3 linked regions of the Saccharomyces cerevisiae S288C genome follow. Changing the gene in region 2 together with the main gene of any one other region gives a genetic interaction. Each region holds a gene or a part of one and is shown on either strand. Other genes may lie near its edges. The genes, in order: SMC3, RIO1 and CEP3.

Region 1 (12,914 bases), on a different chromosome or scaffold from region 2:
AATCCTTTTTATGTAGTCATGCAAATCCAAAGATCTTTTAAAGCTCTGATCGATGATGGATTTAAATTTGTTGATATCTAGTTTTGGACTATTGCTCGAGGGTTTTGCTCCTTTCTCAGGTACGTGAAACTTCTTTGGAAGCCCAATTGAGTTGAATTGAGTCAGCGTCTTATAGTCATAAGTTTTGATATGGACGCCCTTTTTGAGAACAGTTGTCACTAAAACTGCATCTGAGTTAGAAGGAGCTGCATTTACCTGTTGGGAAGGCAATTCATACCATGCGTGATCATCAAACATGTTGGCTGGTGAGTCTATCTCGCCGTCCTTTTTTTTAAACCTTGGTAAAGAAGAAGAAATTAGCGATCGGTCTGTCAATAAATTATATACTAAAGGATTTTTCCTATCTGATGATAGTGCGGCAGCTTTGACAGTTGTAATCAGTCCCGTTGCTGTAGCCGCTAGATTTGATAAAACTTTGTCCATCAATAACAGGTTTTCTAAATGATCATGGTATTCACATTCTAAGGAAGATATCTCATCTTTTTTAACGTACACCTCCATTCTGTGTAACAGGTTTTGGGAGCGTGGCTCTCGTTTGGTTAGAGTGCTTATATTGTGAGATAATGACGAGGACAAATGCTCGAGTTCCTGAGAAAGATTGATGAATACATGAGCGTTATCATTTCTCTCTCCCGAAGGTATACCTCCGGCATTATTTAGAATGAAGAATTTGTCAATGTGTGGAATATTCCCTTGGCACAGGCAATCCATAAATTTTACAACATCCTTTGTCATGAATTCTGAAGCAGTCTCTTCATTATACACATAAGGTTTCACAATTGGTATAAAATTGGAATTTCCAATATCAAAGAAACGACTCTCTTGCGAAAAAACAGAATGATATAACCCAGTGCGGGATTTAGTAAGACCCTCCTTAAGGTGAAGTGGCTTTAAATCTGCTTCTGTAACGATACTGTCAAGTAACTCTGCCTGTATATTTACATGAGTTGGCGACGGCGGAATTACAAACATAGGTCGCAAACCTAGCATTCCTAGTCTCTTTATGACACTTGAAAACTGGGACAAAATCGCTGGTGCGACTTTATGCAGGTCCCTGATAAAAAACAAACAATGATTATGCTGCCCACTATCATTTGTATATTTTGAGAGATAATCCTTAGCCTCTCGTTTTGTAGCGGTTGTATTCAGAACTGAAAGGATCAAGTTTTTTGAAGATGCATTGGGTTGATCATACTTGAGTTCATGCGCGAATATTCTCCTCCACATGATAAAAGTAACCGACTAGTGTCCTAGATTGACGGTCCTAGCTTCAAATGTGTTAACTTTCACAATTTATGTCGAACGTGCTTATGACTCCATGGGAAGATCAGTGATGACTAACCTTTTTTTTCTCCAGCGTGAAATTTCTTGTGATATTTTCCATTTAATGAAAAATCAGTCGCCTAAAGTGTAACTATGAAATGGTTAACAAAAAAGAGTTTTATACTTAGAGAGGATCAACGGCTGATCTGAAATAAGACTAGTTTCATAGACGCATGTCACTACCGGCACATTTGCAGCAGACTTTCTCACCAGAAGAAATACAGTTCATTGTGGAAAACGAGCCAATAAAGATTTTTCCCAGAATAACAACACGCCAAAAAATTCGTGGCGATGATAGAGGAACTGGAAACCACACCCGCTGGCAACTTATTACTACAGATGACAAAGCTTTAAATAATATGGTAGCCATGCGTTCTACAGAAGTGGTTCTTTGGATCGCTCTATTACTGAAGCAACAATCCAAGTGCAGTATTGTAGCACCACAGTGGTTAACGACGAAAGAGCTTGATAGAAAAATACAATATGAGAAAACTCATCCGGATAGGTTTAGTGAGTTGCCGTGGAACTGGCTTGTCTTGGCACGTATACTTTTCAATAAAGCTAAGGATGATTTTCATGACCCCATTCACGAATTACGTGGTAAAATACAAGACTTAAGGGAAATAAGGCAGATCAAAGTGTTAAAAGGCCTTAAGTATTTGAATGAATCTCATTTACAATTGGATAATTTAAGTCTATTAGAAATCAATGAGTTGAGGCCGTTCATTACTGAAATCATGGATAAACTGCGAGAAATTCACACAGCATCTCTTACCGCTGGTACTGAAAATGATGAAGAAGAATTCAATATTTAAAAAAGTGCTGGCTTTGCAATAATTAGAACTTTCAGTGATATGCGTATGTATATATATGTACTTGTTGTGGTATCCTAGTTAATGGGCATAGAATGTATTTCATCAAAGCCCAAAATTCATTTTAAAGCCATTTCCGAATGGGAAGCCACTTCCTGGATTTTTGAACATGTTATTTTGCCTAGGCCCCTGAGGAAAAGTGTTGCGGCGGGGGTTTGATCTGGAAAGATCGTATTCCTTCCTTTTATCGTCATCACTTAATGTTTCGTACGCTTCATTGATTTGTGACATAGTTTCGTGAATTGATTCTTGTTTGTCGTTATGGTTGGCCTTTATTTTGTCTGGGTGGTATTTTTTGGTTAAATTTAAATATGCTTTCCTTATTTCTTTCGAACTAGCACTAGGCGATACTCCAAGAATTTTATAATAGTCCTTTTTTGGGTCGTAGTTAGGCGCTGCTGGGGGTGCTTGATGTCGTTGGTGTTGTTGCTGCTGTTGTTGTTGTTGGAAATATTGCTGGTTGAAATTCCGATGTTTATGCTCTTTATAGGTTTGTAATTGTTTCTGTAATAATCGGAAGTTCTTCATCACGTATGGATTGGTCGACTCTGAGAGGCCGTTATCTTGGAAAAATTTGTTTATCTGGTCATATAATTGCTTTTTGAACTGTGAATGAGGTTTAGACCTACTTTTATTAAGTATTGAGTTTACCATATACATCAGCAAATGAGGATTGGAATTCCATACATCACTCAATACCGTCTCAGGTAAAGGTTTTTGCTCGGACTTAGCATCCTGATAGTGTTTCCATGTTTCTAGTGTTAGTGAATGCCTCAAACTCTTTTTACAGAACGGCGCAGCCAGTTTAGCTCTCTTGACGTCCGGACTCATGCTAGAAGCCTGACAAAGAATGGAATCAATGTATACTAGATAATCGGTATGATAGTATGATTTTGGTTTGACAAAACCATCGGTTATTGGGGGATCTTCGAATAAATTTTTTGCCAAAGGTCTCGACAGTTGAACGTCTTCTATCAATTGTTTGATAATTTCCTCTAAAAAGAAGTAGTTGTTTTTAAAGTTTGTATCTTTGTTAAGAATTTTCATTGGTGTAATAAATGGCTTCTTATCCTTCAAATAAAATTCAATAATTCTATCCCAACTTCTAAACTTTTTGTTCTCAAATGCATATGTTGCTGGATCCAGGATCTGTCTTTTTGATGGATTCACCTTGTTCAATTTGGAAATAGTCAGGCTTAGTTTTTTACATTTATCATAGTCCATATCAATGGAAAGGCATTTTCTTATATTGAACGACGCATCTGAGTTAAGTACAAAGGTCTGTAAAACAGATATGACATAATGAATCGAAAGTCTTGTATCTATGCTTAAGCTAGCCAAATGCTTGTCGAGGATTGTTTCGTAATCCAAAATGATAGCAGCAGCTAACGAAACGTCAATTTCTTCAGCTAGTTTGTGAAAAAGAACATCGATGTGCGTGGAGAGGACGTTAACATCGTACGGCGTTATGCGTAGCAGCTCAGAAATATCTTCCTCCACAGAAACGTCTTTGGATGATATTTTGTTTCTGATGGTTTCATTCAAGGACAGATATTTCGCATACTGATCATCCTTCTGATGCACCTTGTCCCACATCCCAAAATCGACATACAGCTCTTGTAGCCTCTTTTCCGCCAGCTTCCCAAAAGAACCTTTGTAAGTTTCATTAAAAACGATTTTTTCAAATGTGTTAATAGCTCTTAGATGTTGATCGTTGGATAATTGGATCAGCCCAATTTTGTAGTATATTTGATTGGCTAGTTGAATTACGTCTGACATATTTTCACTTGCTGGATCCGCAGTCATGCAGTTTTGTTCCAACTGCCCAGCGATCCATTGGTATTTTGGCAAGGATTCAGTGTCTACTTTTAAATTCTTGTTCAATCGTTGTAACTCAGCCAAATCACATAACTTAGAAGCCGATATCAGTACTGGCAAAATAACGCTATACACTAAAAGACAGTATCCCGAGATCAGTATCATACTTCGTTTCGTAGACGTTAAGATCGGCCTTAGTAATACACTAAACCAACAATGAATGAAACCTTCTGGGCCCTTCTCGCAACCAACTCCTTTCACTTGGAATAACTTATAAGCAGTTTTGGCTCTATTTTTGCCTGCCATCGAAGTGTACACCTGTCACATTTCACTATTAGGAACCTAAAGAAAAAAAGTCTCAGGAATAGGAAAAGACGCGACGCGTTAGGAAATGATTAAACTAATTAAAGATGAGTTTTCAACCTCATCTTTAAACAGTTTCACCATTTTTTTACAAGACGACCTGCTGGAGTAACGGTAATAGTTCACGTCTGCAATGTATATCAAAAGGGTGATAATTAAGGGTTTTAAAACCTACAGGAACGAAACCATTATTGATAATTTCTCGCCGCATCAGAATGTTATTATTGGCTCCAATGGTTCAGGTAAATCGAATTTCTTCGCTGCGATTAGATTTGTTCTTAGTGACGATTACTCTAATCTTAAGAGGGAAGAAAGGCAAGGGCTTATCCACCAAGGTTCTGGTGGTTCAGTGATGAGTGCCTCGGTAGAAATTGTGTTCCACGATCCAGATCATTCTATGATATTGCCCTCCGGTGTACTTTCGAGAGGAGATGACGAAGTGACCATTAGAAGAACAGTAGGGCTGAAGAAGGATGACTATCAATTAAATGACAGAAACGTGACCAAAGGGGACATAGTCAGAATGTTGGAAACCGCTGGTTTTTCAATGAATAATCCGTATAATATAGTACCACAAGGTAAAATAGTCGCCTTAACTAATGCCAAGGATAAGGAAAGATTGCAGTTATTGGAAGATGTTGTAGGAGCTAAGTCATTTGAAGTAAAATTGAAAGCTTCATTGAAAAAAATGGAGGAAACAGAGCAGAAAAAGATTCAAATTAACAAGGAAATGGGTGAACTAAACTCTAAATTGAGTGAAATGGAACAGGAACGTAAGGAATTAGAGAAATACAACGAGTTGGAACGCAACAGAAAGATCTACCAGTTCACATTGTATGATCGAGAATTAAATGAGGTTATCAATCAAATGGAAAGACTGGACGGTGATTATAATAACACGGTATACTCTTCCGAACAATACATCCAGGAGTTGGATAAAAGAGAGGATATGATTGACCAAGTCTCCAAAAAGCTATCAAGTATTGAAGCTTCACTGAAGATCAAAAATGCGACTGATTTACAACAGGCAAAACTACGGGAATCTGAGATTTCTCAGAAATTAACAAACGTCAACGTAAAAATAAAGGATGTTCAACAGCAAATTGAGTCAAATGAGGAGCAGAGAAATTTGGATAGTGCAACTTTGAAAGAGATCAAATCTATAATTGAGCAAAGGAAACAAAAGTTGTCTAAAATTTTACCTAGATATCAAGAACTCACAAAGGAAGAAGCAATGTACAAACTTCAATTGGCCTCCTTGCAACAAAAGCAGAGAGATCTTATCTTAAAGAAAGGAGAATATGCCCGTTTTAAATCAAAGGATGAACGCGATACGTGGATTCATTCAGAAATTGAAGAACTGAAATCTTCAATACAAAACTTAAATGAACTGGAAAGTCAATTGCAAATGGATCGTACTTCTTTAAGGAAGCAGTACTCTGCGATTGATGAAGAGATTGAAGAGCTAATTGATTCTATCAATGGACCAGATACCAAGGGTCAATTAGAAGATTTTGATTCGGAATTAATACACCTCAAACAGAAGCTGAGTGAAAGTTTAGACACTCGTAAGGAATTGTGGAGAAAGGAGCAAAAATTACAGACAGTCTTGGAAACTTTATTAAGTGACGTCAATCAAAATCAAAGAAATGTTAATGAAACCATGAGTAGATCATTGGCAAATGGTATAATAAATGTGAAAGAAATTACAGAAAAACTAAAAATATCACCGGAATCTGTCTTTGGGACATTAGGTGAACTGATTAAAGTCAATGATAAGTACAAGACATGTGCTGAAGTAATTGGAGGTAACTCCCTCTTCCACATTGTCGTGGATACCGAAGAAACGGCCACTTTGATTATGAACGAACTATATCGTATGAAGGGTGGGAGAGTGACGTTTATTCCCTTGAACAGGTTATCTTTGGACAGTGATGTTAAATTCCCCTCAAACACTACTACACAAATCCAGTTTACTCCCTTGATAAAGAAGATAAAATATGAACCCAGGTTTGAGAAGGCTGTCAAACACGTTTTTGGAAAAACTATTGTTGTCAAAGACTTAGGTCAAGGTTTAAAATTAGCTAAGAAACACAAACTCAATGCCATCACTTTAGATGGTGATAGAGCAGACAAAAGAGGTGTACTTACAGGTGGGTATCTTGACCAGCACAAACGAACACGTTTGGAATCATTGAAAAACTTAAATGAATCAAGAAGTCAACACAAAAAAATACTGGAAGAATTAGATTTCGTAAGAAATGAACTAAATGATATTGATACTAAGATTGATCAAGTAAACGGGAATATAAGAAAGGTTTCTAATGACAGGGAGTCTGTCTTAACAAATATCGAGGTATATAGAACATCGCTAAACACCAAAAAGAATGAAAAATTAATTCTCGAAGAATCATTAAACGCAATTATACTAAAACTAGAAAAGCTGAATACAAATCGTACATTTGCTCAGGAAAAGCTAAATACATTCGAAAATGATTTGCTTCAGGAGTTTGATAGCGAACTCTCAAAAGAAGAAAAGGAAAGATTAGAATCTTTAACAAAGGAGATTAGTGCAGCGCACAATAAGCTAAATATTACATCAGACGCCCTAGAAGGTATAACTACAACCATTGACTCGTTGAATGCCGAATTGGAGTCCAAACTTATCCCACAAGAAAATGATCTAGAATCCAAGATGTCAGAAGTAGGTGACGCATTTATTTTTGGTCTACAAGATGAGTTGAAAGAATTACAATTGGAGAAGGAAAGCGTTGAAAAGCAGCATGAAAACGCTGTGTTGGAACTAGGTACCGTTCAAAGAGAAATTGAAAGTCTCATTGCTGAAGAAACTAATAATAAGAAACTGCTAGAAAAAGCAAACAATCAACAGCGATTACTATTAAAGAAGCTTGACAATTTCCAAAAAAGTGTTGAAAAAACGATGATTAAGAAAACAACTTTGGTTACTAGAAGAGAAGAATTACAGCAAAGGATTAGGGAAATTGGGCTTCTGCCAGAGGATGCTTTAGTAAATGATTTTAGCGACATCACAAGTGATCAGCTATTACAAAGACTGAATGATATGAACACAGAGATTTCTGGTTTGAAGAATGTAAACAAGAGAGCTTTTGAAAACTTCAAAAAGTTTAACGAAAGACGCAAAGACCTTGCGGAGAGAGCTTCAGAGCTGGATGAATCTAAAGACTCAATTCAAGATCTAATTGTTAAGTTAAAACAACAAAAGGTTAACGCGGTTGATTCTACTTTCCAAAAGGTTTCTGAAAACTTTGAAGCTGTTTTTGAAAGATTAGTTCCCAGAGGTACTGCTAAGTTGATTATTCACCGTAAGAATGATAACGCTAACGACCATGATGAAAGTATTGATGTTGACATGGATGCAGAATCCAATGAAAGCCAAAACGGTAAAGATAGTGAAATTATGTATACAGGTGTTTCAATTTCTGTTTCCTTCAATTCTAAACAAAACGAACAACTGCATGTTGAACAGCTCTCAGGTGGTCAGAAGACTGTATGTGCCATTGCTTTGATTCTGGCAATCCAAATGGTTGACCCTGCTTCCTTCTATCTGTTTGATGAAATTGATGCTGCACTCGACAAGCAGTATAGAACTGCAGTCGCTACACTTCTAAAAGAACTGTCAAAAAATGCCCAGTTTATTTGTACGACGTTCAGAACAGATATGTTGCAAGTTGCAGACAAATTTTTCCGTGTTAAGTACGAGAATAAGATTTCCACGGTTATTGAGGTCAATAGAGAAGAAGCAATCGGATTCATTAGAGGTAGCAATAAATTCGCTGAAGTCTAAGAGATATTTGAAACGATTTGTATATAAAAATATCAGTTTTGCTTACATAAATAGCTATTTGTATGTAATTATTACCATTGTCTCCTATATTGGAATTTTAAAAAATTTTCTTTTAAGATGATACTGTTACTAAACAATAATGTTAAATATAGTAACCAAGCTTTGATAATTCGACGTACAAAAAAGATTACTTTTCTTAAAGAAGTTGCCCGCTTGCTGGGAAAAGAGGTAAATAAGAATTGGTTTACATGAAGATTTTTTAATATATTAATACTTTTATATGCTTGATTATTTTTTTTTACTAGCTTTCTGTGACGTGTATTCTACTGAGACTTTCTGGTATCATTTTTTCTTGAAATCTTTTATTAATGATGCAAATCCACCACTTGGCTTCTTCTTCTTACCTAAAGCAGCACTAGCGGATTTCGCACTAATAAAACTTTTTCCATCATCAGATGAATCCCCTGAGTCATCAGAATCTGACTCAGATTTAGAATCTGAACTGGAATCCGATACGGAGTCCGAACTGGAGTTAGAGTCAGAATCAGAGCTAGATTCATCATCACTACTTGAAGGGGCTTTTGTTTGTGACTTCTCATTCGATTTAGAAGTTTTTTCCTTTACATCTGGGATGCCTCTTGAAACAAGATCAGATAATGAACTCAAAGAAGGACGAACTTTTCTTGGAAGGTCATGAAGTATACTAGACGGATTTGAGGTGGTCTTGGATTTAACTGACGGAGGAGACGACATGTCCATTAGCTGTGTAACTGGAATTTTATCAGGGGTGGCATTGATTTTTTTGTTAACAGATGGAGAGGGGGCTTCAATCTTAGATGAAGATCTAACTGGTTCTCTTGGTGTATTTACAACAACTCTTCTAGCCTTCCTGGATGTTGAAGTTTCCTCATCAGAAGACGAGGAAGATGAACTAGACTCGTCTTCTGTGGAAGAACCTGAGGAGCTAGAATCATCATCGTTTGCACTAGAATTATTTTTTTCATTAGAAATTATTCCAGGTGGCACGAGTGTTTTACTATTAGTAAATTTAGCCTTCAAATCCTTCAATTTATCATTTGCACTGGGCTTAGGAAGCTGAACATTGCCTTCTTTTAAGTGATCTGTCATTTTTAACTTTTTCTGAGATACCTGTTTGCTTTTGGAGTCTTCTTTTTCCTTCGAGTTATTTTTATCGTTAGCATCCTGTATATTGGCAGATGCTTTTTCTGGTTCCTTGGACCCCTCTGCTTTCTTGTTCAAGTCTTCACCTCCTATGTTTGCGCTTTTCAAATCTGCAACCCTAGAAGTTGTTTCCTTCTGCTGCCTATCAATCTGCGCAGACTCATTCTTGGCCTTCGTTTTAACATTTTTACGATTTCCTTCTTCATTGAAAGAGGTAGTTCCTTTAGTAGCAACAGAAGGAGACCCACCAACAACAGGAAAAGACGATGCTTGTGTTGCTGGCTTAGTTTCCACCTTTGTAGCTTCATTTTGCTTCTTGTTTGAATTCGGATAAAAGCTTTTCGCCATTTGTTCACTTATTTTGCTATTTGTTACTGAAGATTCACTCACGGCTGACTTTTTTTGACTATCTCTTTTGTCGTTTCTTTCTTCATCAACTTCTTTATTGATTATCTTTGAGTCTTTCACTGGAACAACACTGCCTTTCAAAGAATGTAAAGAAATGTCTTTGGGCCCATTATTAGGCACCGACATATTTTTCCTTTTAAAATCATCGTCTGATGAGAAATCTGTTTCAATCCCACTCTCTGACTCATCGTCTGTGGACGCTGCCGAACTAGAATCTTCAGTACTTTTCTGTGGGACTTCGTTTTTCTTGGCACCTGCCAATAATTGGGCAGCCCTCTTAGCCGCACTTCTTGGGGTTCGCTGGGGCAAAATATTTCTTGGATCTGGCTTAGAATTGTCTATGTCTTTATTCAAAACCGTTGTGTAAGGCTTTGAATTTTTGGAATTACCGGAAGTTCTCGAATTTTTGCCCTTAAACCATTGCGGTAGATCTGTATCATCACCTTCGATCATTTTGAAAAGATCTGACTTTGGGAAACTAGAGGAATCTGAATCTTGAGGAACAATACGAACCGTAGTATCAACTTCATCATTATCATTGCCATCGTCCTCAATGGTGCCGTTAATGATAGTGCCATCTTCCTTTGAAGCGTTGTTGTTTGAACTAACTTTCCCAGCTAGTGATTTCAACGTCCCATTAGACTTATCAGATGATGCAAGTATTGGCTGATCATTATGTGGAATTGTCGGCAAAATTTCCTTTTCTAAAAGTTTATCATTCGTATCTTCTTTTTCTCTTACCTGATTATCATCTAGGAAATTAGTCATTCTTTTCGGTTCCACAATACCGGAAGGTTCCGCCTGAGATTTCTTTTCCACTATAGTTTCCAGTGAACTCTTTCTTGGTGGTTGATGTTCTTGTTGCTTTCCCCAGGATTCGCCATTTGAAGATTTGGTGATCGAGGTATTGCTTGCCTTGGGAAGTTCTGCTAAATGCACATTGTGTGGCATGGCATCACCGAGAGGACTATTTTTCACCGGAGAGCCATTATTATCTGCGATGGAGCTTTGACTACGTTGCAAGGAAGCCTTTGAATGTGGTTCTGTTTCAGGAGTTTCTTGGTTTTCGCTACTTGAGCTATCGTCGGATTCGTAGTTCTCGCCATTTTCCAAGTAAGGTTTTTTCATTGGAATCTTTGCAGCTTTAGCGGGTAAAATGGAGGCCGGACTGGAAGGTCCCTCTTTTAACTCTTTTTCAATCTCTGAGATTCTTGGCTCGGGGATTTTCAACATTCCTGATGTTATTCTTGGAGTGGTTACGGGTGGTTTCCTATTAATGTCCTGAGCAGTGACAGCAGCTGTGCCACCATTAGCAAATGAAGAGGAAGAAGCTGAAGCAGAGAAAACCAATTCGTTTTTATGTGCGTGTTCAGAAACCACTCTCTGACCGGTAAGAGTAACTCTGTTTGGAGTCATGGTGGACATTATAGGAGTTCCGGACAATAGACGTTGCTGCTTTGTTTTATCTGGATCCACGGTTGCTGATCTGGACACGATATCTTCCTCGACGATGCTTGATTTTATTTTTTTACCTGCGTCAATGCCCGAACTAATTCTTATGGGAGGTGACTGAGGCTGCGTTGGAGGCGGCAAAAAGGATCTTTCACCAATGTCTTCGTCTTCGTCATCTGAGTTGTTGGAGACGATCTTCGAAGAAGGTGGAGGATAAATTTGCCTAGCCAATGGGGTAGAAACCCTCATGGATCCATTAGTGGCACTACGAATGGTTGTTGTTGTCGTGGTTCCTGTAGGTGGCCTCTTCTTGGCAATCCGAAGAACACCTGAAGAGGACGGGATTTGTTGTTGCGGCTGCACCGACTGGGGCGACCCGTTGTTCAACTTGGATCGTTTTACCGACTTATAAAGTGACACTGGTGCGGAATCGTCCAGATCTATCTCATTCTTCAATATAACTCTTACGATATTATTTACATTGAAAACGTCCTTTACCAAAAAATCCGGATCAAGGTCACAACCGCTGTTATCTTGCAAACTCAAAATTTCAATGTCTTCTTGCAAACTCGGGTACATTTTTTCACACTTATCGATGATTTCATCACTCAAGTTCAACAGCGTGTTTGTCGGCTTGGTAAACAAAAGAAACTTCCTAAACCTAGACTGGTTGAAATAGCTTGGCGTGAAACTCACATTGGCAGATCTCAGATTAGCATACTGCAAAGAGGCATCTCCGGCGCTTTGCGCCATATTAGTTCTGTTTGGCAACAATTGAGAAGATTCGGCGATGGTTGGTCCGTAGCCAAACTGTATTGGCATCGTCGCCTGAAGACTCGGAGGCACCAAGACCACTTGTAGCTTGTACATAGAAGGAGGCACGGTGTACAGTAATCGACTTCTCTCTGTTTCAGGCGAACCGAGACTAGGGATTCGATCAGCTCCGGCACTTATTTCATCGTGCTAGCTACTCTTCACTAGTTATTCAAATTGATTATTGACGCTTACCATGAAAAAGAAAAAAAGTTCAAAACATGTGGAACGGGTAACATAATGCACATATCGCTCCCTACGAGAAACAAATCTTATTTTCGAATACGTACACGTACATATCAAATAGGCTTATATCATTCTGACTCTTCACCAATCAGGGACATATCAGTACTACATCTGTTAATAGCAACGTTATGCACTATTTTTTTTCCAATTTTTTTTTCGTTGAGTAAAGTTCAGGTCGTACAGTGGCAAGGAACGACTATTTCTAAAAACTGTATTGCCTTAACCATGTCTTTCCCCTTGAACGCTATCCCTGGCATGTATCTGATAATTGCTTTCCCTCGTCTACAAACAGTAATTCCCCTGCAGCGAAATACTCCTGTTCGAATTACGAAATCGGTGATAGTGAAAGGCGCAGTGAGCGTGCCACGGATCTCCTCTCCGATGCACTAGGGTCCTGTTCCGTGCTCTGGTATCTCGATTAGGAAAGCGGAAGAAAAGAACGGAGGATACCTCTAATTAAGAGGGTCCGTTGTGTTGTGTTAAGCTCGGGTATAGGAAACTTGAAGAGAGGCGAAAAAAACCCAACGATGTGAGGAACGCGTCGCTATTGT
Region 2 (5,738 bases):
CTACTCGAGAGCAGGTGACGCTGTTTGGGCTACTTCTGGTGGCCTATCTTTGCAACCAAACGAAATTGGTGAAATTGTTCAAGGCTTCGACAATCCAGCTGGTTTGCAAAGCAATGGTTTGCATATTCAAGGCCAAAAGTTCATGTTGTTGAGAGCTGACGATAGAAGTATCTACGGTAGACATGATGCTGAGGGTGTTGTTTGTGTAAGAACTAAGCAAACCGTTATTATTGCTCATTATCCACCAACCGTACAAGCCGGTGAGGCCACCAAGATTGTCGAGCAATTGGCTGACTACTTGATTGGTGTTCAATACTAATTTATGCAGGTAAAGTTTTCTTGCCTTATACACCACCTATTCTGGCATCTGCGGGATTTCGCTTCCTATTTTACAAATATTTTATTGATTGACGCTAATTATCACTGTAAAAGGCGCACTTTTTATATGTAGTCACATCCGGTATTTAACATATTTACGAAACAGTCTTAAGAATATCGACATTTGATATACTTATGTTTAATTTATCTACATATTACAATCATACGAGAAACACGCAAAAACAATTACTTGAATACTTCGAAAGGAGACCAATTTGGATGTACAACCCTTTTTTCGCCCTTTTCCTTCGATATGTTATTGATAGCTTCAAAGTCCTCAGTAGACAAAGTAAATATTTTCCTGTTCGTTTTGATTCGATCGGGATTCACAGATTTTGGCAAGACAACATAACCTCTTTGGACGTGCCAGCTAATAACAACGTGTCCGGGTTGAACGTTATTTTTCTTCGCAATTTCAAGGATAACCGGTTCCTTCAATAGTGGAGCATCGGTACTACCTAACGGAGAATAAGCTTCAACCACAATGCCTTTACTTTTACAAAAATTAATCAATTCGTCTTGAGGTAGTAATGGATGTATTTCGACTTGGTTAGCAGCTGGCGTAAGCTTATTACCTTGAGATGCTAATAGATCTTTCAGGTTATTTATAGAAAAGTTGGAGACTCCAACGGCCTTAGTTTTACCAGTCTTTGGTAGTTCCTGCATTAATTCCCAGGTTTTGATGAAATTCCAATTGGTGATATCCACTGCACGAGAACCATCCTTCTTTGTTGGCACACTCAAGATGTCTTCATTTTTGATGTAGGCTGGATCTAATCTGGCAGGCCAATGCATCAAATATAAGTCTACGTAGTCCAATCCTAACCTCTTTAGTGATTGATCCAGCGCTACTTCAGGTTCGTGGTGTTGTGTACACCATAACTTTGTAGTAACAAAGATTTCTTCCCGAGGAACACCTGAATCCTTGATGGCTTGACCGACTTGGTCTTCATTACGGTAAATAGCAGCAGTATCAATGTGTCGGTAGCCATCTTTCAAAGCGGTTAAAACAGCCTTATAAGCATCGTTCTCTTTCGACTGCCACGTACCTAAACCTATTTGAGGGATTTGGGCTCCAGTATTTAGAGAAAGGATTTTCGTAGAATCATGTAAAGTAGCAGGCATTTTTCTATCTTAATTTAGTAATGAGAGCTGTCCAAATTTTAGCTTGCTAAGATGCACCTATTAAGCTCTCATCCTGAATCAAGTCATTAGAATGTCTTGATTCTCCCGGTTTTATACGCCCAGTAAAGCAATTCTTTACTGCCGTAGTCTTTTCCTGAAAGCTCGGTTTCTACTCTAGGGAATTAAGGAGAGCAGCGGTGTGCGATTCGTCACACGGGTGAATGCCTGATAGGCATATTATTAAGCCGTGTTTGCAATCTGCGTGCTAGATTGATTCTACCCCTTTCTGAGAAGGCGAAATGACCTTGCTATGACAATGAGGGAGAAAAGACCGCCCTTCCTTGTTCTTCCCCGGAATAGTCTGCCCCGATTGTTCGCCGGTGTTATAACTTACAATTCTTATACACTCCATAGGAAGTTTGTTGACAAGAGTTAAGTTTCAAATATCTAAAGCCAGGAAGTATGATCACCCAAGCATATCCATTGCAATATGTAAGACATTCAAGCGGATTTCTGGGACTTTAGAAAGTGAAATTTAAAAAAAAAAAAATTTAACAGAGGTCATACTTCCAAAAAAAAAAAAATGTAGAACTGGGCGAAATATCATCAGCTCATTCACTCTAATGCGGCCCTTCTGTAACCTCGAGCAAAGAGCCCAAATAACTTCATCTCTTCTCTCTTACGAACTGAAATATTCTCATGTTACCTATTGAGTAGTTGCGGGGACATTGGCGCGCGCAGAAAGAGTGAAAAATTTTATAGTGGAATATAGAAATTGAGATGAGATGAGATACTAAGACTAAAAATAATAGTAAAAAGAAGTTAAAACAGATTTAGAGATTCAAACTCCGTTATTTTTAGAAGGTCATGTCCTTGGAAGATAAATTTGATTCATTGTCTGTGTCGCAAGGTGCCTCGGACCATATTAATAATCAGCTCTTAGAGAAGTATAGTCACAAAATAAAAACTGATGAATTATCATTCAGCAGAGCGAAAACATCAAAGGATAAAGCAAATAGGGCGACTGTGGAAAATGTCTTAGATCCGAGAACTATGAGATTTTTGAAGTCTATGGTCACCAGAGGTGTGATTGCAGATTTGAACGGTTGCTTAAGTACTGGGAAAGAAGCTAATGTTTACCACGCTTTTGCAGGTACCGGTAAGGCACCCGTAATAGATGAGGAAACAGGCCAGTATGAAGTTTTAGAGACAGACGGATCCCGTGCAGAATATGCCATTAAGATTTATAAGACCTCTATCCTAGTCTTCAAAGATCGTGAAAGATATGTTGATGGTGAATTTAGATTTAGAAATTCCAGATCTCAACATAATCCAAGGAAAATGATTAAAATTTGGGCTGAAAAGGAATTTAGGAACCTGAAAAGAATTTATCAAAGTGGCGTCATTCCAGCTCCTAAGCCAATAGAAGTTAAGAACAACGTCTTAGTTATGGAATTTTTAAGCCGAGGTAATGGATTTGCCTCACCTAAATTAAAAGATTATCCGTACAAGAATCGTGATGAAATTTTCCATTATTATCACACAATGGTGGCATATATGAGATTGCTGTACCAAGTTTGTCGCCTGGTTCATGCCGATTTGTCAGAGTATAACACCATAGTTCATGATGATAAACTATATATGATCGATGTTTCCCAAAGTGTGGAACCTGAACATCCAATGAGTTTAGATTTTTTAAGGATGGATATCAAAAACGTTAACCTTTATTTCGAGAAGATGGGTATAAGTATTTTCCCTGAAAGGGTTATTTTTCAATTTGTCATATCAGAAACTTTGGAGAAATTTAAAGGTGATTATAACAATATTAGCGCCTTGGTTGCATACATTGCTAGTAATCTACCAATAAAATCTACAGAACAAGATGAGGCAGAAGATGAAATATTCAGATCGCTGCATTTAGTTAGATCATTGGGTGGATTAGAGGAAAGAGATTTTGATAGGTATACTGATGGTAAGTTTGACTTACTGAAAAGCTTGATTGCCCATGATAATGAACGCAATTTTGCTGCTTCTGAGCAATTTGAATTTGATAACGCTGACCACGAATGTAGTTCTGGCACAGAGGAATTCTCAGATGATGAAGAAGACGGCTCAAGCGGATCTGAAGAAGATGACGAGGAGGAGGGCGAGTACTATGACGATGATGAACCAAAAGTTTTAAAGGGGAAGAAACATGAGGACAAGGATTTAAAAAAATTGCGCAAGCAGGAAGCTAAAGATGCAAAAAGAGAAAAAAGGAAAACAAAAGTCAAGAAGCACATCAAGAAAAAATTGGTGAAAAAAACGAAATCAAAGAAATAATGCGGCCCTGTGAAAATACATTTGGGAATCGTTGTTTGGAGTCGAAGAACAGAAAGTAGGTCAGCAATTTAACGAAGAAAGTTCAAGACTAAAAGTGTAATATCAGTATCAAAAGTTTGGTACTTTTCATACAAGTGCAATAAATATTAAAATAAACAATAGCCTTATTTAGTGGTCTTGATTTTTAGTGAAATCAATCCCAATAACTAAAAACAGCAAAAAAGGCAGGCATCACATTGAACCGCCACCTTGATGTTGGCCAACTAAACCTGCCATTTCCAGTAAGGCACGGTCTTCTCCCAAGCTTCTCAGGTTAATTTGCTGTCTTCTTTTAGATTCTGCTTCTTCCCATTCCAACTGTTTGATTTGCTCTTCTAGTTCTTTCTCACCACCACAGCCCCATACCTCAACATCTTGAATCAAAAAATGCAATTCATAAGGGGAATTTTCCTCCTTTCTTTCCATCGACAATAAACCAGGGTCTAATGAACCTCCGTAACCAGTATTTCTAAACACAGCAAATTCTAATGTGCTGTCAAAAGTAAGCGACACGTTCCCTGGTATGTATCTCTTGGATGCTGGTTTTATTAATGGTTGTTTATCCCCGATTCCAATTCCGCCACCAATTGTATTGAAATAGATCGTGCCTTTTTGGTTGACTTTATAAATATCCTGCCTGGGTGATATTTCTATTATTCTCGTATTCAGATCGCCAAAATAATCTTTATTTGTTACTTTCCACGGATCGTCTATGTACACAGCGAAAGTAGTTTTCCTTTTATTCAAATGCGATGCATCCATCATTTGATCTGACTCTTTCAATTTAGGAAATTCTTCAAGAAAATGGCGGTATCTTGGATTCTTCTCAGCTGCGTATTCTTCAGAATTTGTTATCCTCATTCCGCTAACAACTAAAATCGAAGGCGCCATCCATTTGAACACCTTTGCTTGCAAAGACCTCATTGAGAAGCCACTTTTCCTGCCGATGTATAAACTTTGTAGCTTATGAATAAATAATTCCTTTGGTAGTCCCGTCGATAACTGTGCCAACAGTGCTGGAGTCATAACTTTAGAATCCTGAATAGACGATAAGTTTGTGTCATGATCAACTAAATCGTGCTGCAAATAAAAAAAATGCTCCATTAAATTCTCTAATGGTTTTAATAGATTGGGCATTACAGTTCTTATTGCAGTTGAAAATTGTTGAAACGTTATGGAATGTGATTCTATATCGCCCACCACGTCTGGATTCATAGTTCTAAGGAGATTGAGTGCTGAGACTTTGAAATTGCCCCATTGATCATGAGTCTCTGTATTATCCAATTTAGAATTGGTGGTTGGACAATCAACTGTTAAAATTAAAAGCCAAGTTAAAAACTGAAGCATAAAATCAGCAGGAATGCACAGCATTTCTGTATCAACATCATCAAACCCAGTTATTATTTGTTTTATAGTCAACTCCTTGTTTCCGTCGTTTTCACTTTCTTCGGAGAGTTCTTCTTTGTCAGTTTTCTGAAGTGATAAAGAGATAAACAGCAGTTTTAGTTGATCATAGGACTTGGTTTTCAAGAATTTGGCACATCGTGCCCTGTTTAACAACAAAATGCATTTTAATAACCCATATCCCGTAATTGGTTCGTAAGATGATTTCATTAATGGGAAGTTGCTCAAAACCCTCAACATGTTAGTCACTATCCCAACAATCATGGCATGATTCTGCGGAAAATAAAGTGAGTTGCATAAAGCTTTGTGAGAAATTGGAGTGTTTAGATCTTCAATTTGCAAATTTCCCTTAAAACTGACTAATTCTGGAATAGTGACCTGTTGCTGTGCTTTGTTATTGAAATATGCCAAAATATCTTTGCTATTTGTGAATTTTTTTGAGTGGGAAGAACCCTCTTCGTTACTGGAAC
Region 3 (11,087 bases), on a different chromosome or scaffold from region 2:
AAGATGCTTGATCGATGGCTTTCCTCTTATTCCAGTATCATACTCTTCCCATATAGTCTTTACGTCAGTGGGAGCCTTCAATATCCTATAATGTAAATCAGAGTTTATGTTGGGCTTAGTAGCCGACTCGCCGTGAAGCTTTCTTCTACCGTTTAAAGAGTTACTTTTTTTATGATGCAAGCTCCTCCTCCGCTTGTTAATCGAAGCGTTCTTCATATCTGTTTCGATTTCATCATCTACTTCATCTTCCTCAGCAGTGCTGTCTTCTTCATTATCCCTTCCATCACCTTCGTCATCACCGTCATCATCATCATCCTCTTGATAGCCATCATCGTCGACATTACTTTTCACTGTCATTGGTTTTGGGTACGACGGTAGAGTAGAAGCTCTGTTTCTATTTACAATATTCGTGTTCACCCCTGACTTACCACTCGGTAACAATTCAGATGTCGTGCTATCCTGATTGATCAATTGGGAAAATGATAGAGGCTGCTGGGTATTATTTATAATAGGGGGTATAACATTTTGATTTGGGGGAAAAGAAGCGTTATCTAGGGCTAAGCTGGGCAAACTTAAAGCTGTTGTCGTGCCAAAGTTATTCAATGAATTTAAGTCATGAAATGAATTTGAAGCACTGGTGACGCCTGAATGAATGGAAGAATTGGTATAATTCATGCTAGTTGTAGAATTATGAGAATTCGTTAATGGAGATAGGGCTGATATGGGCTTTTGTGCAGCACTAGCATGGTCATTTGTGCTCGCATTGTTGTTACTTTGCGTATTTCTTCTGCGCCGTTTAATCCCATTTGGGTTCAACTTGAATGGCTTGTCAGTTGAAGCGTTCGGGAAACTAATAGGCGAGCGATTTACCTGCTGATGTGTATTTGTGTTATGAATTAAAACCTGCGACTGGTTCTGATTGGCTTGTGTGTTTATAACAGGACCAAGTTGTCGGTTAGGGAGCGATTGGTTTATATTTTGGGAAACATTATTTCGATTATGCTGCTGATCAGGTAAGATAGTATTTAGTGCGTTAGAAAATTGGTTGTTTAGCTGTGCAGTATTCGTATTCACATCTATGGTTCCATTCGTAGTCCGATGCTGGTTGATACCAGAATGGGTGTTGGAATCTCCTGTACATAAATCAGCAGTATGCTGTCTACCAGAGCCATTATTCTGCATTTTCTGCAAGTAAGCACTACTAACGGCTGATATCGAATTTAGCAATTCGATAGCAAGCTTATTTTGGGCATTGTTTGTGCTTGGGCGCGCGCTTGGCTGCGCAACCAACTTAAGTAATATATTCAATTTGTTCATAACTTTATAGTTATCTTGTTTTAGGTTTAAAACCATTGTATTCTGTTCCGCGATCTTATTAGATAACTTGTTGAAGCTTTCCTCCATCTCAATCATTCGGGCACTCATTTCGTCCATTCTTTGAAAAATCTTCAACTGATCCGTCGATATTTCGTTCGACGGTGAATCATTAGTCAAGGATTGGCTTAACATACGCCCTGTACCCGCCGTTGTCGAGTTCGAAGCGGAAACATTCGAGTTCACCCGCTCTTCATTACTCAGTTTTTCACCAATAGTTTCTGTTGGTTGACTGGTACCTGTGGGTGCTGAAATCGCTGCTGAAGTCCTCAAAAGACCTCCATCTAGTGCATTTCCATCGTTGCGAAGTGTACTGGCGTTACTGCCACTGGCGCTCTCTGAACCAGTCGTAGGCGAAATGTGAGTGGGCAGTGAGAGGTCAAGATTGATACCTATAGCATCTTCATTTACTTGACTATTCATCCTGTACCCATCCTTTAATGTAGTGGGCATCATTAAGAATAAGAAGAAAGGGCTCATCAGTGTAGAATAATCGAAGCTGATGGTTATCCTATAAATCTTTGTACGTACGATGCAAAGAATCGCAATACCCATTCCAGACATTATGCTCCAGCCATATGTACCCTAAATATAATCTTTTTTGTATATAAAAAACCTAAAAAAGAGATAACTAAACCTAGCTCAATATTTAATTTGACCTAACCCTCCGTCGGCCCTTTTTTTTTATTTTTTTCTTCGGAACGGTGCGCTATAAAGAAAAAAGGCAAATTCCAGGTTATCCATATAAACGCCATAACAAAATTTCATTGATACAGGCTTTAAGAACCTTGCTCTATTTACTACTGCTCTTTCTTCCTCTCTCAGGTTGAGCTATTTTTGAGAATAGCGCTTTACTGCTGCATGGAGGAGTGATTTTTTATAGAACATTGAAAAACCAAAGGACTGGTGCCTAACTACAAAATTTTCAAGAGTTGTTTCAAGTTATCTATATTGTCATTGGTTAATAATTATAAAAAATCTTAAAGTTTGGAGAGCCAAATTTTTTTTCTATATAAAAAAGCAAATGTCATTCAAGTTTCTGATAGAATCGCTGCTTCTCGGTTCGATAAGCGGACAAATACGGTGTGGTAGATCTTCGGTGATCCCCCGTGGCGATGTATCTTATGGGGGAGACGATACTGACGAACTTAACATGGATATAATGTTGTTTGCGTTTGGAACCTTAATCGTGGTCTACATCGTCATCTGTATCGTTTATTTTTTTACAAAACAGATAGCTACGCGGCTTATAACTGCATATTATAATGAGCATGGCCCTGGCCAAAGAATATCTTTATTCAGCGATTATGACGAAAATAATGCACACGTTCATAGCAGAAGATTAATGGAAAACATGAGTTTAAGGTGGCCCAACAATCTTGACGATGCTGATGAAGTAAGAGATAAGCTGGCACAGTTGTCACCTGAAGAGCAGTTTTATTATAAGCAAGGTGAGGAGTATATCAAGCAGAACCCACCATTTCTGCTTAACCAGGGACTTTTACAACAGTCCGAAGATAGCAATCCAGACACCACCCGTGAAGACCCTATTATGAACGAGCAAACAAGGCAATATATTCAAGAAGAGGGGGCTTATGCATGGGAGTTTAGCCCAAATCCTGATATGCCAAACCATACTGTCATAGTGGAAAATAAAACAGAGGTTTCTTTTCTAAATTATAATTATGATGCTTCTATATCCACAAATCTACCCATTCCGTGTATAAATAAAGTATATTATTGTGAATTCAAGATATTTGAAACGGATGGCCCACTAAACAGTGATGAAAATGTATCGAAAGGTGTCATCTCATTTGGTCTTTCCACACAGCCTTATCCATATTTCAGGTTACCGGGAAGACACCACCATTCGATAGCATACGATTCTAACGGCGCCAGAAGATTTAATGACTCCTTCAAACTAAATGAGCAATTAAGAACGTTATTTCCACAGTGTGAAAAGGGAGACATTGTTGGCATTGGCTATAGGTCACGTAGTGGAACAGTATTTTTCACCAGGAACGGAAAAAAACTAAATGAAAAATCTGTTGGTGGTCATATCCGCGGCTGGAAATTCCAATACCTATACCCGATCATTGGCTCCAACGTACCTTGTCAAATTCATGTGAATTTCGGCACTTATGGCTTTGTTTATATAGAAGCAAACGTTAAAAAATGGGGATACGCAAAGTCAAACGGCATTAAATTACCTCCTCCTTCTTACGAAGACTACGGTAAAGATACCCTATTAGAAAGCGGTGGTGAAGACAATGATTTCGACGAAGATTTTTCAGACGGTGATAGCGACAATATTGCGGCTGGTAGTACTACAAATCTCAATGATGATATAATTATAAGAAACGGTGAAATATTACCGCCACCACCTGGATTTGAATTCACTATGTCCCCTCCCACTGGAAAGAAGATCATCAATGAGGAAATTAATCTAGATTCCTTACCTATGCTACCACCAAGTTACTCGGACGATGAACATCATTCGAAAAATGATAAATCAGCAATAAGCGGACGAATTATTGGAACGAGCAGAAATTTAATTACTGATGAAGCATCTTTCGATAGTGTTGATAATGATAACGAAGATGAAAATGATCACGAGAGAGATCCCGAACAATTTTCAGAATTTGATGATTACGAAAGCAGGATGCATGGCATATAATACGAAAATGCATGAGATAGTAAGGCTGAAACACTAGCCCCGGTCAGTTATCTTTTTTTGCGCTGTATTACGCAGAGCCACCATTTTTTAAAAACATTGCAATTTATAACGTTTTCTTCCTTATTGAGGGTTTCAACGCTATCACCTACTCGATATCGCAGTGCAGCATATAGATATTTACATACATATATACATATGTTTACGTACACTAGTAAGGGCAACTGGTTGACCCGCAAACTTCCTTCTTACTTTCCGTACTTTTGCCATCTTTACTTGCACCTCCGTGCTACCTCTTAATGTGTCACAAGAAGAACGTATGAAGTATTTGTCAGCGCTTCAGACATCAGCATGGGTTGCAAATGCGTGAGATTAAAATGAAGCGTTCCAGCTCGAAAGAAAATTTGCTTATCTTTCCCTTCTATCATTTTTTTTTTCTCGTTTTTTATTTTGCATTGCCTTATCTTTTGCCGCCAGAAGAAACAAGGTTGCCATTATCGTGCCATGCGTTTACTTGCTAACGCCCTATGATGTTCCCGGCGGCTTTTGGATACTAATAATAGCAATCATATACCCTTTATTGGTTACTCCTATCCAATGATGAGTTTTTTTAACTCGTTTAAACATTAGGGATGCAATCTTGTCGACACTCACTGATCATATCCCGAATTTTGCTCAAGAATGTTCATATAAAGGGAGCGAATCCTTAAAAATACTTTTGGCCCATTCCTATCATTTTTACATTGCATGTCCATCAAAAACAATCGTGAAAATAAGCCAAAAGAAAAATGCCTACCTTGTATACTGATATCGAAATCCCACAATTGAAAATCTCTTTAAAGCAACCGCTAGGGTTGTTTATCAACAATGAGTTTTGTCCATCATCAGATGGAAAGACCATCGAAACTGTGAACCCAGCTACTGGCGAACCGATAACATCCTTCCAAGCAGCTAACGAAAAGGATGTAGACAAAGCTGTGAAAGCTGCCAGGGCTGCTTTTGATAACGTTTGGTCGAAGACATCTTCTGAGCAACGTGGTATTTATCTTTCAAACTTATTAAAACTTATTGAGGAGGAGCAAGACACACTTGCCGCATTAGAGACTTTAGACGCTGGAAAGCCTTACCATTCAAATGCCAAAGGTGATTTGGCACAAATTTTACAGCTTACCAGATATTTTGCTGGGTCCGCTGATAAGTTTGACAAAGGTGCAACCATACCATTGACTTTTAACAAGTTTGCATATACTCTAAAAGTTCCTTTTGGCGTTGTTGCTCAAATCGTTCCATGGAATTATCCTCTAGCTATGGCTTGTTGGAAATTGCAAGGTGCCTTAGCAGCCGGTAACACGGTTATCATCAAACCTGCTGAGAATACCTCTCTATCTCTACTTTATTTTGCTACTTTAATTAAAAAAGCAGGTTTTCCACCTGGTGTTGTCAATATCGTTCCTGGTTATGGATCACTTGTAGGCCAAGCCCTAGCATCTCACATGGATATCGACAAAATATCTTTTACGGGAAGCACCAAGGTCGGTGGATTTGTGTTGGAAGCTTCCGGCCAATCGAACCTTAAAGACGTTACACTAGAATGCGGTGGTAAGTCTCCTGCTCTCGTATTTGAAGATGCAGACCTTGATAAGGCTATCGATTGGATAGCAGCTGGCATTTTCTACAATTCAGGACAGAATTGTACCGCAAACTCAAGAGTTTATGTTCAAAGTTCGATCTACGACAAGTTTGTTGAAAAGTTTAAAGAAACTGCAAAGAAGGAGTGGGATGTTGCAGGAAAATTTGATCCGTTTGATGAGAAATGCATCGTTGGTCCAGTTATATCAAGTACACAGTATGACCGCATCAAAAGTTACATAGAACGTGGTAAAAGGGAGGAAAAGTTGGACATGTTCCAGACCTCTGAATTTCCTATTGGTGGAGCTAAAGGCTACTTCATTCCCCCAACCATCTTCACTGATGTCCCGCAAACATCGAAACTGTTACAGGATGAGATATTTGGCCCGGTTGTGGTTGTTAGCAAGTTCACAAATTATGATGACGCTCTGAAGCTGGCTAATGATACTTGCTACGGGCTCGCCTCTGCGGTCTTCACAAAAGATGTCAAGAAAGCGCACATGTTTGCTCGCGATATTAAAGCAGGAACTGTTTGGATCAACTCATCTAACGATGAAGATGTTACCGTTCCTTTTGGCGGGTTTAAAATGAGTGGTATTGGTAGAGAACTGGGGCAAAGTGGTGTTGATACCTATCTTCAAACAAAAGCAGTTCACATAAATCTCTCTTTGGACAACTAATGTGATAGTTATCATTATGTAAGTGCGTAAGTACCTAAATAGCTTAGCCTGACGACGGATGAATATGTTGACAGTCTAGCAAACAGTAGTAGTCCACTACTCGATATAAAACTGTAAGCACCATTATTTCAGCATGCGGAACAATTGTTGTTACTAGGTCCTAGAAATCCCTTAAGATGGTAAAAAAATAGAGCTATAAACTCAGTGAGATTTATTTTTGTGTCAAGAAATTATACTTGCGTGTTAGTTTTCTCTATTCCCACCATTACGTAGATCTTCCGTCTTTTTTTTTTCTTTTTCTGCATATGACGTCTGTTCTTCCTTCCCCCCCTGGAGTACAAGGAAAGTATCACTATTAGAACTCTACAGTACCTTTCTTCCACGCCCTTTAGTGCATTTAGGGATTTTCATTACTGCTAATCCAAGACTTGAACCGGATTGTTGATCAGCCCCCTTCTTAAGCTGATTGCTAAACTCCCTAAGGGTTAAGGAATTAGTAAGTTTAGGGAGGAGACAGGGAGATTGTTCAAACGAATAGCGTAGATTTAACTGATCATACCTCAGAAACTAATTGTATAAAATGGCAAATCTGGATGGGAATAAATTTGACTCATGCCAGGTAATTATACCTTGGACTTGTATCATAGAGATATAGATTATACACATTTAGAAAATTAGCCAAAAGAAAAATGCCTACCTTGTATACTGATATCGAAATCCCACAATTGAAAATCTCTTTAAAGCAACCGCTAGGGTTGTTTATCAACAATGAGTTTTGTCCATCATCAGATGGAAAGACCATCGAAACTGTGAACCCAGCTACTGGCGAACCGATAACATCCTTCCAAGCAGCTAACGAAAAGGATGTAGACAAAGCTGTGAAAGCTGCCAGGGCTGCTTTTGATAACGTTTGGTCGAAGACATCTTCTGAGCAACGTGGTATTTATCTTTCAAACTTATTAAAACTTATTGAGGAGGAGCAAGACACACTTGCCGCATTAGAGACTTTAGACGCTGGTAAGCCTTTCCATTCCAATGCTAAACAAGACTTAGCCCAGATTATAGAACTTACAAGATACTATGCGGGGGCGGTCGACAAGTTCAATATGGGTGAAACCATTCCATTGACTTTTAACAAGTTTGCATATACTCTAAAAGTTCCTTTTGGCGTTGTTGCTCAAATCGTTCCATGGAATTATCCTCTAGCTATGGCTTGTAGAAAAATGCAAGGTGCCTTAGCGGCCGGTAACACGGTTATCATCAAACCTGCTGAAAATACCTCTCTATCTCTACTTTATTTTGCTACTTTAATTAAAAAAGCAGGTTTTCCACCTGGTGTTGTCAATGTCATTCCTGGTTATGGTTCCGTTGTGGGGAAAGCTTTAGGAACCCACATGGATATCGACAAAATATCTTTTACGGGAAGTACTAAGGTTGGCGGCTCAGTATTGGAAGCTTCCGGCCAATCGAACCTTAAGGATATCACACTAGAATGCGGTGGTAAGTCTCCTGCTCTTGTATTTGAAGATGCAGACCTTGATAAGGCTATAGAATGGGTAGCAAATGGTATTTTTTTTAATTCGGGACAGATCTGCACTGCAAACTCAAGAGTTTATGTTCAAAGTTCGATCTACGACAAGTTTGTTGAAAAGTTTAAAGAAACTGCAAAGAAGGAGTGGGATGTTGCAGGAAAATTTGATCCGTTTGATGAGAAATGCATCGTTGGTCCAGTTATATCAAGTACACAGTATGACCGCATCAAAAGTTACATAGAACGTGGTAAAAAGGAGGAAAAGTTGGACATGTTCCAGACCTCTGAATTTCCTATTGGTGGAGCTAAAGGCTACTTCATTCCCCCAACCATCTTCACTGATGTACCAGAAACATCTAAGTTGCTGCGTGATGAAATATTTGGCCCGGTTGTGGTTGTTAGCAAGTTCACAAATTATGATGACGCTCTGAAGCTGGCTAATGATACTTGCTACGGGCTCGCCTCTGCGGTCTTCACCAAAGATGTCAAGAAAGCGCACATGTTTGCTCGCGATATTAAAGCAGGAACTGTTTGGATCAATCAAACCAATCAAGAAGAAGCTAAAGTTCCTTTTGGCGGATTTAAGATGAGTGGTATTGGTAGAGAATCAGGCGACACCGGCGTTGATAACTATTTACAAATAAAATCAGTCCATGTGGATCTTTCATTGGATAAATAATTCGTTACATAGTTATATAAATGTTTACATGAGATTCAAAGCTTCATATTCTATGAAATCTTTATTTTTTACGGCTTTAAATGAAGTGCGCGCAGCCATGTAAGCTAAGCGTAAGAGAATGAAATATTATAACCAACCTTCAGAGAGCAGGTGATGACAAAAGTTACGAACACGAGTTTGCATCCTAATAATAATGTTTAACCGTACCACTCAACTGAAATCCAAGCATCCCTGTTCCGTGTGTACGAGGCGAAAAGTCAAATGTGATCGTATGATACCGTGTGGAAACTGCAGGAAGAGAGGACAGGACTCCGAATGTATGAAATCAACAAAACTAATAACGGCTTCATCTTCCAAGGAATATCTCCCTGACCTATTGTTATTCTGGCAAAATTATGAATATTGGATAACGAATATTGGGCTGTACAAAACAAAACAAAGAGATCTTACTAGAACACCAGCTAATTTGGATACTGATACTGAAGAATGTATGTTTTGGATGAATTATCTTCAAAAAGACCAATCATTCCAATTGATGAACTTTGCTATGGAAAACTTAGGTGCTTTGTATTTTGGTTCCATTGGAGATATCAGTGAATTATATTTGAGGGTGGAACAGTACTGGGATAGAAGGGCAGACAAGAATCACAGTGTAGACGGCAAATACTGGGACGCACTAATATGGTCTGTCTTTACCATGTGCATTTATTATATGCCAGTCGAGAAGTTAGCAGAAATATTTTCAGTATATCCTCTCCATGAATATTTGGGTAGCAACAAAAGGCTCAATTGGGAAGATGGTATGCAATTAGTCATGTGCCAAAATTTTGCACGCTGCTCATTATTCCAATTGAAACAATGTGATTTCATGGCGCATCCCGATATAAGGCTCGTTCAAGCATATCTGATTTTAGCCACTACAACTTTCCCCTACGATGAACCGTTGTTGGCAAATTCGCTCCTAACACAGTGCATCCATACCTTTAAAAATTTTCATGTGGATGACTTTAGACCTTTACTTAATGATGACCCCGTTGAAAGCATCGCTAAAGTAACCTTGGGAAGAATATTCTATCGCCTGTGTGGATGCGATTATCTTCAATCGGGGCCACGCAAACCAATTGCACTTCATACAGAAGTATCCTCCCTATTACAACATGCAGCATATTTGCAGGATTTGCCTAACGTTGATGTTTACAGGGAAGAAAACAGCACAGAGGTCTTGTATTGGAAAATCATCTCATTAGACAGAGATTTAGATCAATACTTGAACAAGAGTTCTAAACCTCCCTTAAAAACATTGGATGCTATAAGGAGGGAGCTCGATATTTTTCAATACAAAGTAGATTCGTTGGAAGAAGATTTTAGATCAAATAACAGCAGATTTCAAAAATTTATTGCACTTTTTCAAATATCTACTGTTTCCTGGAAATTGTTTAAGATGTATCTCATTTATTATGATACCGCAGATTCACTACTAAAGGTTATACATTATTCTAAGGTAATCATTAGTCTTATTGTTAATAACTTCCATGCAAAAAGTGAGTTTTTCAACAGACATCCGATGGTGATGCAAACCATTACGCGCGTGGTCTCTTTCATCTCCTTTTACCAAATTTTTGTGGAATCGGCTGCTGTCAAACAACTTTTAGTAGATCTAACTGAACTTACTGCAAATCTGCCCACAATATTCGGTTCAAAACTAGATAAACTAGTTTACTTGACCGAAAGGCTCAGTAAATTAAAACTTTTATGGGACAAGGTACAGCTTCTAGATTCAGGTGATTCGTTTTACCATCCTGTTTTCAAAATACTACAAAATGATATTAAGATAATTGAGTTGAAAAATGATGAAATGTTTTCTCTCATAAAAGGACTCGGGTCTTTGGTACCGTTGAATAAGCTTAGACAAGAATCGTTGCTTGAGGAAGAGGACGAAAACAATACGGAACCAAGTGACTTCAGAACTATTGTAGAAGAGTTTCAATCCGAATATAACATTTCTGACATACTTTCCTAACTGCAACCATATTTCATATCCTTTGAAATCTCGCGGATGAATCGTTAAAGGAAAGGGCATACACTTTCAAATGAAACACAATCACACTCAGGAAATAAACAAAAAACTTTGGTATTACAGCCAAAACGTTTTAAAGTTAACACCTCTCAAAAACTTTGTATAGATCTGGAAGGTTGGCTATTTCCACGACATCCTTGAGAATGTGTCTAGGGGCCAGGAACCTTCGTTTGATACAAGGGAAGAGAACGTGTTCTAGTAATGAGGATATGTGTTCCTTTCTATTTATAAACTGGGCTTTTTCGTCTTCTGACAACGATGCATCAGATGTATCGACTTTCGGAACCATATCAGGTATATAGAGTAATGCAATCTCTCTTAAAATACCATCTAGACACTCTTGTTCATCCTCCCAATCAACTTCTTTACCCAGGCGATATATAAAAAATGGTAACTTGACCAGAGATGGAATGTAGCCTTTTAAAAGTAGTGGTAGAGATTTT

Evidence for each region.
Region 1: mutations in RIO1 (region 2) and SMC3 together harm fitness more than expected from each alone (negative genetic interaction), as found in Saccharomyces cerevisiae (one study listed by BioGRID).
Region 3: mutations in RIO1 (region 2) and CEP3 together harm fitness more than expected from each alone (negative genetic interaction), as found in Saccharomyces cerevisiae (2 studies listed by BioGRID).

The regions. Positions count from the first base shown.
Region 1 is NC_001142.9:294,505-307,418, reverse strand, and holds SMC3 (cohesin subunit SMC3), read left to right. Parts: upstream 1-4,569; coding exon 4,570-8,262; downstream 8,263-12,914. Other genes in the region: ARG2 (acetyl-CoA:L-glutamate N-acetyltransferase), read right to left, coding at 1-1,287; DNA replication protein PSF2, read left to right, coding at 1,557-2,198; JEM1 (Jem1p), read right to left, coding at 2,301-4,238; APQ13 (Apq13p), read left to right, coding at 8,543-8,959; NET1 (Net1p), read right to left, coding at 8,605-12,174; YJL077W-A (uncharacterized protein), read right to left, coding at 12,534-12,620; ICS3 (Ics3p), read left to right, coding at 12,358-12,753. UniProt on the Saccharomyces cerevisiae protein: Involved in chromosome cohesion during cell cycle and in DNA repair. Central component of cohesin complex. The cohesin complex is required for the cohesion of sister chromatids after DNA replication.
Region 2 is NC_001147.6:546,879-552,616, reverse strand, and holds RIO1 (protein kinase RIO1), read left to right. Parts: upstream 1-2,370; coding exon 2,371-3,825; downstream 3,826-5,738. Other genes in the region: PFY1 (profilin), read left to right, coding at 1-319; glycerol 2-dehydrogenase (NADP(+)) GCY1, read right to left, coding at 565-1,503; RTC5 (Rtc5p), read right to left, coding at 4,057-5,738. UniProt on the Saccharomyces cerevisiae protein: Required for the final endonucleolytic cleavage at site D converting 20S pre-rRNA into the mature 18S rRNA. Required for the final steps of cytoplasmic maturation of the 40S ribosomal subunit.
Region 3 is NC_001145.3:596,832-607,918, reverse strand, and holds CEP3 (Cep3p), read left to right. Parts: upstream 1-8,760; coding exon 8,761-10,587; downstream 10,588-11,087. Other genes in the region: HOT1 (Hot1p), read right to left, coding at 1-1,938; EAR1 (Ear1p), read left to right, coding at 2,399-4,051; aldehyde dehydrogenase (NAD(+)) ALD2, read left to right, coding at 4,837-6,357; aldehyde dehydrogenase (NAD(+)) ALD3, read left to right, coding at 7,047-8,567; mismatch repair ATPase MLH1, read right to left, coding at 10,724-11,087. UniProt on the Saccharomyces cerevisiae protein: Acts as a component of the centromere DNA-binding protein complex CBF3, which is essential for chromosome segregation and movement of centromeres along microtubules. CBF3 is required for the recruitment of other kinetochore complexes to CEN DNA.